Linked DNA regions of Rattus norvegicus. The protein of the gene in region 1 interacts with the protein of each later gene in a pairwise test. Links are inferred from orthologs where the notes say so. Each region holds a gene or a part of one and is shown in the gene's direction. Other genes may lie near its edges.

Evidence for each region. The genes of interacting proteins can lie anywhere in the genome.
Region 2: the proteins of Disc1 (region 1) and Clu interact in binary tests that used the Homo sapiens proteins (3 or more experiments, as listed by UniProt). The link is inferred for Rattus norvegicus from reciprocal best matches to the Homo sapiens genes DISC1 and CLU.

The regions. Positions count from the first base shown.
Region 1 is NC_086037.1:69,987,139-69,992,713, forward strand, and holds part of Disc1 (disrupted in schizophrenia 1 homolog), read left to right. Parts: intron 1-1,312; coding exon 1,313-1,548; intron 1,549-5,575. UniProt on the Homo sapiens protein: Involved in the regulation of multiple aspects of embryonic and adult neurogenesis. Required for neural progenitor proliferation in the ventrical/subventrical zone during embryonic brain development and in the adult dentate gyrus of the hippocampus.
Region 2 is NC_086033.1:44,334,358-44,340,732, forward strand, and holds the start of Clu (clusterin precursor), read left to right. Parts: upstream 1-2,261; 5' UTR 2,262-2,314; intron 2,315-6,375.

The DNA.
Region 1 (5,575 bases):
TAAAATGCTGTCTCCAAGAAACAAAAACAAAACATACAAAAAATGAGGGAGGGGGGATAGTGTGGATCTCCAGGGCAAACACAGAGCCGCTGAGCCTTGTTGAGCACACAGAGCCTGTGGGTTAGCAGGAAGTTCAGGGTGGGGGCGTTAGAGCTCATCTCTCTCTTCTCTGGGACTGCAGGTGGGTGCAGGAGGTAGACGCTGTGGAGAATCTGCTCCGTGGGTGGAGAGAACATTCAGGAGATAGGGAGATATCAGGGATTAAGCGGTGCTCTTATCAGCTAGGAACAGCGAGGGAACAGGGGCGTGTCCCTCAGCGGAGTCTGGTGCTGTGTTCAGACTCCTACGCAGAGAGATGGCTATCTGCCCAGCCCTGAGCACACGCTGTTCCGTCACCTGCTGCTTGTTTAGTCGTTGGCCTGGAGACAGATAATAGCTATGGATTAACGGAGATTCTGGGTCAATCAATTAGTGCAAATTACATGTGTGTGCGTGCGTGCATGCTCGAGAGTGCATTCGTGAGTGCCCGTGTGTGCACATGTGTGTGAGTGCGTGTGTTTGAATGTGGGCACACGTGCACGTGTGTGCGTGTGTATGTGGAGGACATCAGTTGATGTTAGATACTTAGCCCAGACTCCCACAGAGTCTCTCACTGAATCTAGTTTTCACTGACTGGGCTAGAGTGGCTTGGTCAGCAAGTCCCCAGGCTCCTCCTGTCTCTGCTCCCCACCCCCACCCCCATCCTGGGGTTACGGATTCATTCTGTGGGACCCCAGCTTTGCCATGGGTTCTGGGGAATCAGAAGTAGCTCTTCATGCGTGCCCGGCAAGCACTTATCTGACAGAGTCACCTCGGTGAGCCTTGGAATTTAACTGTCCGACATCGTCGGTGTGGCAAGCCTTTCTGTGCATCCTAAATTCTCGTGTTTGGGGACAGGGTTTTCTCCTCCTGGCTCACACACAGCTGGTGTCTCAGTGTGGGGTGTGAGCTGCTAGCACCCTTCATTTGCCCACCAGAAGGGAAGCCAGCCATACAGCATTCACTGGGTTTTATCAAATCAAAACCTTGGCCCGCACCTGTCCATATTTAATGCTTGGGAGGAAGGGAATGTTTTTCTTCTTGCCAGCTCATCAGAAACCTAAAGCTGGCATGATTTTTCCAGTTCAGCAAACTTCTGGAATTCGCTTGCCTCAGAAGGTGGGGTAGGTGGGCTTTGAGTCTCCGGGCGCATATGGCCCCCAATCACTTAGCTTGCTCTCACTGTCAGCAGAGCAGGGTTAATGGCTGAAATCTGTTGCCCCTTTCTCTGCAGAAGGAAATCGAAGCTCTCCGGGCAAGGGTGTCTGTGCTGGAGGCGAAGGAACAACGGCTGAGCCAAGAGTTGGAGGATCAGGAGATGCTGCTCCGGTGGCAGGGCTGTGACCAGATGGCACTGGTGGCACAGCTGTCCCCAGGCCAGCTGCAGGAGGTCAGCAAGGCCTTGGGAGAGACTCTGACCTCTGCCAGATGGGCTCCCTTCCGCGTGGAGCCACCCGAAACCCTCAGGAGGTACTGGTGACTTTCTGAGTTTCCAACTTTACTTCTCTCACCCGTTTATCATCGAGATGACTTTATTGTCCCTTGTCCACAGGCGCTCCTCAGTCAGGTTGTTGGCTGAGTGGAAGGGGTGGAGATGTTCTGATGTTAGATTGCCTGCGGGGTCAGTCATGAGTGCTGGGAGGTATTTGGTGTTCAGTCCACCTAATCTGTATCAGCAATGTCCCCTTCTCCAAGAAGCAGTTTCCAACACTCTGAGGGGCTGGCTTGTCTCTCCTTCCTTGTCTCCCTCCCTCCTTCCCTCCCTTCCTCTCTCCCTCCTTCCTCCCCTCCCCCCTCCCCTCCCACTCCATATTTCCTTCTCCTCTCTCTCCCTTCCTCCCCGCTCCCTCCTCCCTTCCCTCCCTCTCCCTTCCCTCTCCCCTCTCTTCTCCCTTCTCTCCTCCATTTCTTCCTTCCTCCTCTTCTTCATCCCTTCCTCTCCCCTCCCTCCTCCCTTCCTCTCTCCCTCCCTCCTTCCTCCCTTCCTATATTCCCCTTCCTCTCCCCCCTCCTCCCCTCCCTCCTCCCTTTCCTCCCTTCTACATCTGGGATTCAATTAGATAGAGATAGTGACACCGGCCTTTGCTGGAGGTAATCATCTGGAGAGGGACAGATTCCACTTCTACTCAAGGGATAGGGCATGGCATTGAAAGACTGTGCCCTGGGCTACAGTGATGCTTGGCTACAGTTTTAGTGCACAAGCATGGGGGCCTGGGTGTGGATCCCCAGAACTCGTGTAGAAATCTGGGTGCAGCGGTACATAGCTTTAACCTCATTTCTGGGGCCTCAGACTCAGGAGGATCCCTAAGGTTTGCCGGCCAGCCAGCTTAGCTCCAGGTTCAGTGACCCTGTGAGTGTGATAGAGGAAGACGCCCCATCTCCTTCTCTCTCTCTCTCTCTCTCTCTCTCTCTCTCTCTCTCTCTCTGTCCCTCTCTCTTTCGTCCGTCTCTGGCTCGTATGTGTGTGTGTGTACATGCACAACCAATAAAAGACCCCCCCCCAGACAGACAGACAAACAAAGGACAGCTGAACCAGTGTTTTCGTAGGCACTGGGATGAATGGGACGAGCGACCCTGTGCTGCTGGTTGTGGCAATCACCATGTGCCTGGTGCTAGACCGGCCGTCGCTTTGTGGGTCGCATCTATTTTCCTGCCTGTTCTCCAGACAGGGAATAGAAGACGAAGAAAGCTAACAATCAGAAGAGAAGTTTTTAATTTGCCCAGTGTCTTAATAGGAGAGAGAAACATGCCCAGGATTTTCAACCCTGGCACACCACAAAGTGAGTCTTTCCTATGCTTTGAATCATGGAGGGCTTGGGAGATACACCACATACACATCTACTAGGTTGTTACTTATTGATCAATTGATTCTTTTGAATAGGGTTTCACTATGTTGTTCAGGCTCCTCCGATCTTCCTATTGCTCTCCAGGCACTCAGATCTCATTTTGGAGACACGGGGAACACTCTTACATATGCAGGAAGAAGTGCTTGTGGAGGGCAGGGAAGATGTCCAGTGGGGGTTCAGGGCTCTGCTGGGTCACTACCCTCCTGCCTGTGGGGATATACATTTTATGACTCCTGGATGAATTGGGAGACTGACAATAGAACCATTTAGGGATACTGGTCAGTCTCTGCTAGCCTCAAACTTGTGGCAGTCCTCCTGTTTCCGCCTCATGAGTTCTGGGATTCATCACTACACCTGGCTACTTCAGCCTGGCAACTTTTATCACTCACAGACTTGACAACATCAATGGAGGCCATCTGTAGACTTGAGGCCCTTTCTGGCCTCAAGCAAGTGAACCATGCCAGAACTTACCCAGGAGCTTGCTAAGAACAGGGTTATCCCAGCATGCTACTCAGGGAGCCTATGCTGGCTTGAAGCTGAGCAAGGCCTGATGGGCATCTAGTGCTCTAAAAAAATATTCTCTGAGAAATTCAGAATGCACAGGATGTATTTTGATCATAACTGCTTCTCACCTGTCCCCTCCGAGTCCTCCCAGATCTCTCTCAGTGTCTTCTTCCAAGTTGTCCAACACTTCATGTCCTTAAAAACAAAACAAAACAAAGCCCCAAGTCCCCTGAGTTGTCTGTTTATGTGTGGGTGTACGGTCATGCTCAGGAGCAGGCAACCTAAGGCAGAAGTCACCCCCAAACAAACCATCTCTCCTCTGGCACCCATCAACTGCAGGAGGTCAAAGGAGACAACTTTTAAATACCAGGAGGGTCAAGATGTCCCACGCCAGGAAGCTGACAGGACAGAGAAACACAGAAATCACATAAAATGTCAGACTCGTTACAGAGAATTGGTGACAAACAATGTTGAGGCTGTAGAGAAAACAGATCCCTCATTCACCGTTGGCGGAAGGGCGGGCTGGTGCAGCCACTGTGGACATCAGTGTGGAGGCTTCTCAAGAAACTAAATATGGAAAGCCCAAACAACCCAGCAATATTTCCTTCCAGGCATCGACCCAAGAGGCTGCTCCCTACCGCAGGGATTCACATCCATGGTCATTGTGGCTCTGTCGGGTAATGGGCTGGTGGCACACCAATAATGGGCTTTTATTTGGCTGTGAAGAAGAAAATGAAATTTCGGAATGTAGAGGGAAACGGAAGGAACTGGAAAACGCTATGTTAACTGATGCCCCAGAAAGACAAGTACCTCGTGTCCTCTTGTACGTGGATCCTAGCATCTGATTTCCACATATGTGTATTTATGTGGGAGTGAGGTCATAGGCCAGGAAACTGAGAAGGGGCTTTGAGGCAGGGGTATGGAGAGGGCAAGAAAATGTGTGTGACGCAGGAAAGGCAATTGTCTTAGGGCGGTAGATTTGTTAAATACAGGTGGCAGCAGCGAGGCAGAGGCTTGGAGGAGAATTTGGGCCCTTGTGGCAGCTTGCGTCCACCTGTGGGTCTCCGAGGAAGGTGGCTCATCATACAGTTGATTAGCAGTCTACAGCTCAGACCTGCAGCCAGGCTGAGGTTAATTCCTGAGCGGCAGTGGGAGGGGAGGGGTCCTGCTTCCCAAGGAAGGAATGAGTGAGCTGGCTGAGAAGGGGTGGGTGAGGCCCAGGATTATATTCAGTTAAGGTACCATTACAGGCTGGGTACGTGCTGCCTTTAGCTTTCTGGTATCTTGGAGTCTGGGAACCCAGCCCTGTAGGCTTTCTTGGGGGAATTGAGAATTATAGCGCTTGTCATTCTCCAGGAACCGGGGCACTTGGGGAGTCTCTTACAGGGAGGAGGGGGCTGCAGCTTTAATGGCTCTTGGTGGGGGCTCCCCATTTCCTTCAGAGCGGCCATGTAAAGGAGGCTTCTGGGCCTGAACGGGCACTAGCCCAGACTGACTATAGTGGAAAGGGGAGTGGGAGGGAGGGAGGGTTCTAGCAGTGGGGGTGGGGGTAGCATTGAGAGTCTTCCTGGAATTGTTAAGAGTCAGAACATGGGTCTTGGCTAACAGACTAAGCCCTCAGTAGGGCAGTTATAGAGACAAGTAATCATGGAAGCAGAGGTGGTTTTATTCAGTGTGACCCCTTGAAAGAACAGTGAGGGACAGTGACCCCTGAATCCATCGTGAGCTCTTAACAGAAGGTTTAGTCTTCTAGAGGGCACGGCTGTGCATGGCTAAGCAGTGCTGGTCAAGTGTGGGCCTGCCCATCACTGACCTTCCTCTCCGCTCCAGTCTGCCCTGCACAGTAGTCTGTCACATTGTCAGAACCATGTGACATCTCTCTACGGGACAAGTTCCCTCTGGGTGGCTCCAGTCTTCTTCTCTCAGCGTGAGACTCCTGAGAGCCAAAATCTGATGGCCAAAGGAAGGGACCCTCGTGCCTCTTTGGAGATGTCTTCATTCCTGCTGGTGTTTACCAGGAGGGGGAATTGTGAGGAGCAGATTGGGGCATGGAAGGACAAGCTAAGCTAAGCATGTAGGAAAATACCACACGCTAATTAGAAAGTAAACTCAAAAGAGAGCTAGGGTCTAGCCTGAAATCTCAACCC
Region 2 (6,375 bases), on another chromosome or scaffold:
CATCTTTGACCCTTTTAGTTCGGATGTCAATAGAGAGACACTCAGGAAGAACAGAGCATGCCCCAGTGTGACTGTGGGCTTCTCAAGAGAAAGCTGCTTATGTGTCTTAACACCAGCCATATATATATATATATATATATATATATATATATATATATATATATATATATATATATATATATATGCACCATTAAGCTATTTTATTTATTTATTTATTTTTCGGAGCTGAGGACTGAACCCAGGGCCTTGAGCTTGCTAGGCAAGCGCTCTACCACTGAGCTAAATCCCCAACCCCTTTATTTTGTTTTTAATTATGTGTATGTGTGTGCAACTGTATGAGGTATGTGTATGTGGTTGCAATGTCCACAGAGGCCAGAGGAGGGCCTGGACCATAAGGATATTTTAATAAGATAATTGGCAAGTTATCCGCAAAGAAGGATATTAAAATCATACTTTTAACTGCATGGCATATATTGATTTGCTGGCATACCCCAGTGAGGCTCATTATAAAGACAAACGTATTTATGAGTTTAACTCAAATTACCCCCATATTTTATCTTGTATTCTAAAACATTGTTGGTGAAACGCTTGTGGAGGAACATTGGCCCTAAGGACTAAAAAAGTACTTACCATGTATGAGAGCCTGGTTCTATCCCTAACACACACACACACATACACACACACACATACACACACACACACACTTATACACACACATACACACACACATACACACACACTCACATATATTCTTTCTCTCTTTTTCTCTCTCTCACACACACACATACATTCTCATACACACACACACACTCACATATATTCTTTCTCTCTTTTTCTCTCTCTCTCTCACATACACACATACATACTCATACACACACACACACACACTCATACACACACACACACACACACACACACACACACACACACACACACACACACACAGGAGACCCTACCTGGAGTCTGGAGATGTCGAGTTGTTCTCTGGTCAGCTCTCAGCCAAATGGCCCTTTTCCCTTAGCCTTTTGTTCCTCTCCTTCCTTATTTTCAGAGGAACCAGCTGAGATACAAGTTAGAATCTTTCCTGACAGGTATAATCAGGCACCAACCAGTCAGAGTGAGTGTCATGACCAATCGGAAAGGTCTTGGACTGTCCCTAGTGAGACACAGTGACAGACAGTAGTCCTGAGGAAGGACAGGTGTGGTCCCGGCATTGCTGTGGGAGCAGTGACCTAGTTGTCCCTTGGGACTCACAGTCACTTGTTCCCATCATTGTACACACTGCAGACTCCATGCTCAGGATATTGCCACTTGGCCCTATATTTGTGTCCCCTCTGGCTTGAGTTCCCAGTTTAATGCCACCTCTGTTTCCTTCTCCCTGTCCTCCTCCTCTTGTTCCTCCTCCAAGAATTCCTCTTTGTTGGGGCTTGTTTTGCTTGGTCCCTGGAAATCTCTTTTTTCTTTCAACTCCACCTATGCATTTGGTCAGATGTTTGTTTTTTACCTTTTACCTAAAAATTTAAAGCCCCAAAACGTGCTGGAAGCAGCCAGTCCTCTCTGTTTTCTTGATTTCATTTTTGAAATGTGGCCGAAGTGTTGGGTCTGGCCTCAAGGCAATCATTTTGACAATCATATAAATTTTACAGTCTAAAGTATCAGTTTTATGGTCAAATAGACTGAGGGCCAAAGACATTTAAGAATGTTACTAACGGTACACACAATACAAGTGGAGAAGCCAAGATTTGCACTCAAAAAAATCTTCTCTCCTTGGCTTGTGTACTACCACTAGGAGGGAGGAACAGAAATCCTTCACAGTTCTAAGAGCTATTTCTCCTGCAACTACAAGACCAGGGGAGAAGGAGAAGGGACAATAACTTGACTGAGCAGGCAGAACGTCAGGGTTGTGACAATGACCAACAGCCCTCTAGGGTTTTGTACACCATTGATTCCTTAACCTCATGTTCCAAATGTTGCTTTGTGTCTTCTGTGATCAACTGGGAAGATGAGATGCAGTGTGGATTTGACGGTCAATGTTCAACGCCAACTTAGCAGAATCTACAGTCACCTGGGAATGGGTTTCTGGCCATGCCTAGGGAGCAGTATCTCGAGTAGAATTACCCAAGGTGGGAAGACCTGTCTGTGGTGGGTGGCAGCATTCCATGGCTGGGATTCTGGAGTGTGTATGTGGAGAAAAGGAGATGAGCAGCAGCAAGCATGCATTACTGTCTGTTTCCTGATTGCAGATGGGCATGGCCCGCTGGCTCAAGCTCACACTGGCTGGACTTCCTCGCCATGACAGTCTGTACCTCTAACTGTGAGTCAAAAGACTTTCTCCCTGAAGTTGCTTTTGTTAGTATTTATCATAGCAACAGGAAAAGAAACAAAGATGGTGGGCAAGAACACTTGAGAAGCAGTGGCAACCTTGAGTGGGCGCATCAGGGAAGGAACTGAGGAGGATTCTCGCAACTCCCATACAGCCCCTCTGCTTAGCTCCAAGGTCTGTCACAATTCAACCAACACTGGAGTAAGGCCCTTGCTGCATGTTCTCCAGGGTCATGGATTCATCTCTGTGGAATTTGACAGCCAGCTCTCATGCTCAGAGGGCAGGGGCAGGCACCGTGTCTAGCACAGTGGCTGGCTCGGGGAAGAGTGCCTTGAAACCTTTGCCTGAGTTTTCATTATGCTTTCTGCTAAGTGGTCCTATAGCTACACTGGAACATGTCTGAGTGCCTTATGGCCCCAGGATTCAGAGTCCCACCTCCAGGGGAAGTCTGAGTTGAGAGAGGCTGAAGATGAGAACATATTAGGGCTTAAAAGTGCTCCTATCTCTCCTGTCCTGATGGATCCCTAAAAGTAGCCTGAAAAGGAGATGGTATAAGAAATTAGAGAAGTTAAGTCTCTGGATTTGACAGATGGATGGGGAAATGGGGCGCGCGCGCGCGTGTGTGTGTGTGTCTGTCTGTCTGTCTGTCTGCCTGCCTGCCTGCCTGCCTGCTGGTAAGCACTGTAAAGAAGAACTAGTGGGAGAGGGAGACAGGGAGCAGCTGGGTGGTGTGTGAGGTGCAGCCCATCTTGTTACATGTATATCAACCTTTGCAGCCCTGCTTTGCCATTCAGTCTGGGATCCCTCGGTCAATCTGCCAGCTGTTTACAAGGACTGCTTTGCCCAGGCACTTTATAGGGTGATGATCTCTTTCCCAAAAGCTTCAGGCTGGGTGGACTAGAATTCTCTGGACCGTTCTGTGCTTGTCTAAACGGAAACTTCAGCATCTATCTAGGAAGGCCCACCCCCAAGAACTCTGCAGAACACTGCATGATAGGGGGGCTCTGGTCTTCAGGCTTCATTTGAGCCCCTCAGAGAGATATCCCTTCCTTCCTGTCCTTGCTCCTCATTCCTCACCACTCTTTAGTGGCGCTTCTTGGCCTTCCCTTGGGACAGGGCCTCCTCCCTGTTTTGGCTCCAAAGGCAATTTCATCACTTCACTGTTTATAGCCTTTGCAAGGAATCTGGGATGATTTAAATGAAGCCTGGCTGACACCAGCCTTCAGCAAACACCCCTCCCATAGCAGCTTCGCCACACCCTTACTCCCCTGGTGAGAGCCCCTTAAATTGCTTGCCATTAACAAAGGGAGCCAATAGGGACCACCACTTTCCAGAGCTGTGAGAATTGGCCCACGGAGGGGAAGGACAGCTGCCTGCCCATAGTCCAGTCCTCTCTCGACCAATGCTTCCTGAGTGTTGGCCCTTTTCCTGGTGATGACATCTCATTTCTGTAACTCATAGTCCTCTCCAGTCCCCAAGGAGGGTTTCTCCTTTTCCTAATCCCCTGACTTCCTGCTGTCCGGCCTAGAGTCCTGCCCTTGGGGACTCTGATTGGCCTATATCTGGAACTCTTCGGCGGCTTGCCACATTAGCCTCTCTCACTTTAATGAGAACATAATCCAAAGCATTTGTGGGGCTCCCTCAAGCCAAGCTGTTTATGTGTCATTGAGCTTGGTTCTGGTTGGAGACCAGATGAACATACAGACAGTGAGTAAAGCTGGGAGAGAGTTAAGGCTGGTGAGAAGATGAATGGGGATTAGGTGGGAGCCAGGGCACAGCCCTGGTGCTGAGCCAGACATGCTCCCCTTCCGCAGGGGAAGCTCTCCTTCGTCTCCCCATTTTCCCGCCTTCTGGGGCATGCTGACTCAGTGTTGCAGATATAGCTCTCCGAAGAGGGCTTACGAGTCAGAGTCACTGCTATCCCATTACAAAGACCAAAGGATAGTAGTAATGACTTCTTAGTGTCCAGGGGTCCAGAGCTAGACCCCAGCACACATGGGCCATCCACAGAATCACCAGGAGAACTGGGATAGGACCCTTCTACCCAGGCCTGCCATCTGTTTACCCATCAGAACTCCCTGCAGGGTGTCACCTCCTTCAGGTCAGTCCCCATTCCCCATTCCCCTAGGCTCCTGTCAGCCCAGGGCATATGCTGTAGTGGGTGACAGTAAAGGTAGCTTGTGGGCTTTTGGTGAAGACCTGAATGTTTCCTGTTGTTTTAACCACGAGCTCGTTTTAATTTAAAAACAAATGAAGGGTAATCATTTAAAATATGGTTTCAATCTATTTTATTCTTGGTATTCTCTATGGCCAAGGGAGTGTTGACACATGGGGTTTGCAGGAGCTCAAGGCAGCAGAGACATATTAGGGGTGAGGGTGGGACATGAGGCTTAAACTGCCAGGAAATGGAAGACCGGGAGGAGGGCGGAGGGAGGCAGCAGAGTCCAGGTGAGGCTTCCGTCCCTTTCACATTCTTTTCTTTAAACGGAAAGGATTCCTGTTTGGGTGGAGTGGCAGGGGTGGGGACATGAATATATGTGACATTTAGGACTTTGGATTTGCCCAAAGTTAGGGTGACCTCAATGCAAAATGTAAAAGTTGTTGGGCATCTGGAAGAGCAAGGAGAACCTTTTCTCACGGGATGGAGACATCTGGAGCAGGCTAAGCTTCTAGGAAGGAGTAGCTTCTCTACAGGTCTGTGTGTGCTTTCTTTCCCCTCTTGCTGCTTTCAGCATCTGGAGTTGGTGGGGCTGGGCTTGGAAGAGGGCACAGGATCAGACGGAACATGTCCAGACCTAAATTTTTCATGAAGCCCCTCTGAGGGACACCTAGGACAGTTAGGTGCTCTGGGAATCATGAAGGGGCAAGCATCCAAGGCTCTAGGACCCAGTCACTGCCTCCCTTGTCCGAAGGCCATAGGGATCTGAGCTGAGACCATGGAGTGCTCTTAGCTAGAGGAGACTAGCCAGGTGCTACTCTTCATGTGGCCCACATTGCTGGCCACATGCTTGGGAAAAAAAGGAAAACAAAAAACATCAAACAGGCTTTAAAGGCCAGCATTGCATGCCAGCTCCAAAACGTAACAGCAAACACTGCAGGTTGAAAGGGCCTCTGTTCAGCTGGTACCTGACCGTGTAATCTCCAACTTAGGTGTCAGACGGAAAGCCAGAGAGGAGGGGGTTCCTTGTTTTTAAGCTTTTGCTTGCAAGAGCCAGGTAGAACATTGGATTGGTAGGTGCATGTCTTGGCACCTGGTTGCAATAGCTGCTGACTTTCTTGGGGTTGAGCCTGGGTCAACCTTTCCTTCTGAGGGTAGAAAACAACTTTGTTAACCATCTGCTAACCCAGCCACCACCATTGACCAGGAAATGTGTGATTGAGTCATCTTCCGTTGTTCACTCCTCCTCCTCCTCTTCTTCCTCATCCTTTTCTTCCTCCTCCTCCTCTTCTTCCTCCTCCTCTTCCTCCTCCTCTTCTTCCTGAGACTGTATTCTTCGACAGGAGTCAGGAGGGGGTAGATTCGAGGAACTGAATAAAAGGTCTTTCTTTGAGCACTCCAAGGGACATATTGTGATAATTATCTTCAGCCGAGTTCATAGTGGGTTTTCCAAACAGCCAATTGGGACAGGAAAAAAAAATAAGGATCTGGAGAGGTTTCTCGGGAGCCAATGCTATATTTAAAGTTTCAGGACGGCTGTAGTTTAAGGTCGGGGAACGCTATAATTAAGCTCTCAGGGTTGTTTTCTTCAAAAGCCTTCTGCTACTGCCCCTCTCCGTGGCTTTGTGGGTTCCTCTGAAGCCTGGTGGGAATCTTCTGTCCCTCTCAGCTCTGAGGAAGCCAGGCCTCTCCTTGTTCAGATCCTCAGACTCAGCTCAGCATGTTAACACCAACAGCCTTTCTACTTCTGCAGTTGCCTCTGGAGTGCTGGTCTCCACCATTACAGTTGTCTGTTGCTAGTACTGTATGCCCTGTCTGTCCCTGCCTCCTCCCTCGGGAACCCCCTCAGTGAGCACTCATAGTGTTCTTGGTGACTGTAGAAGTTCTGAGTTCC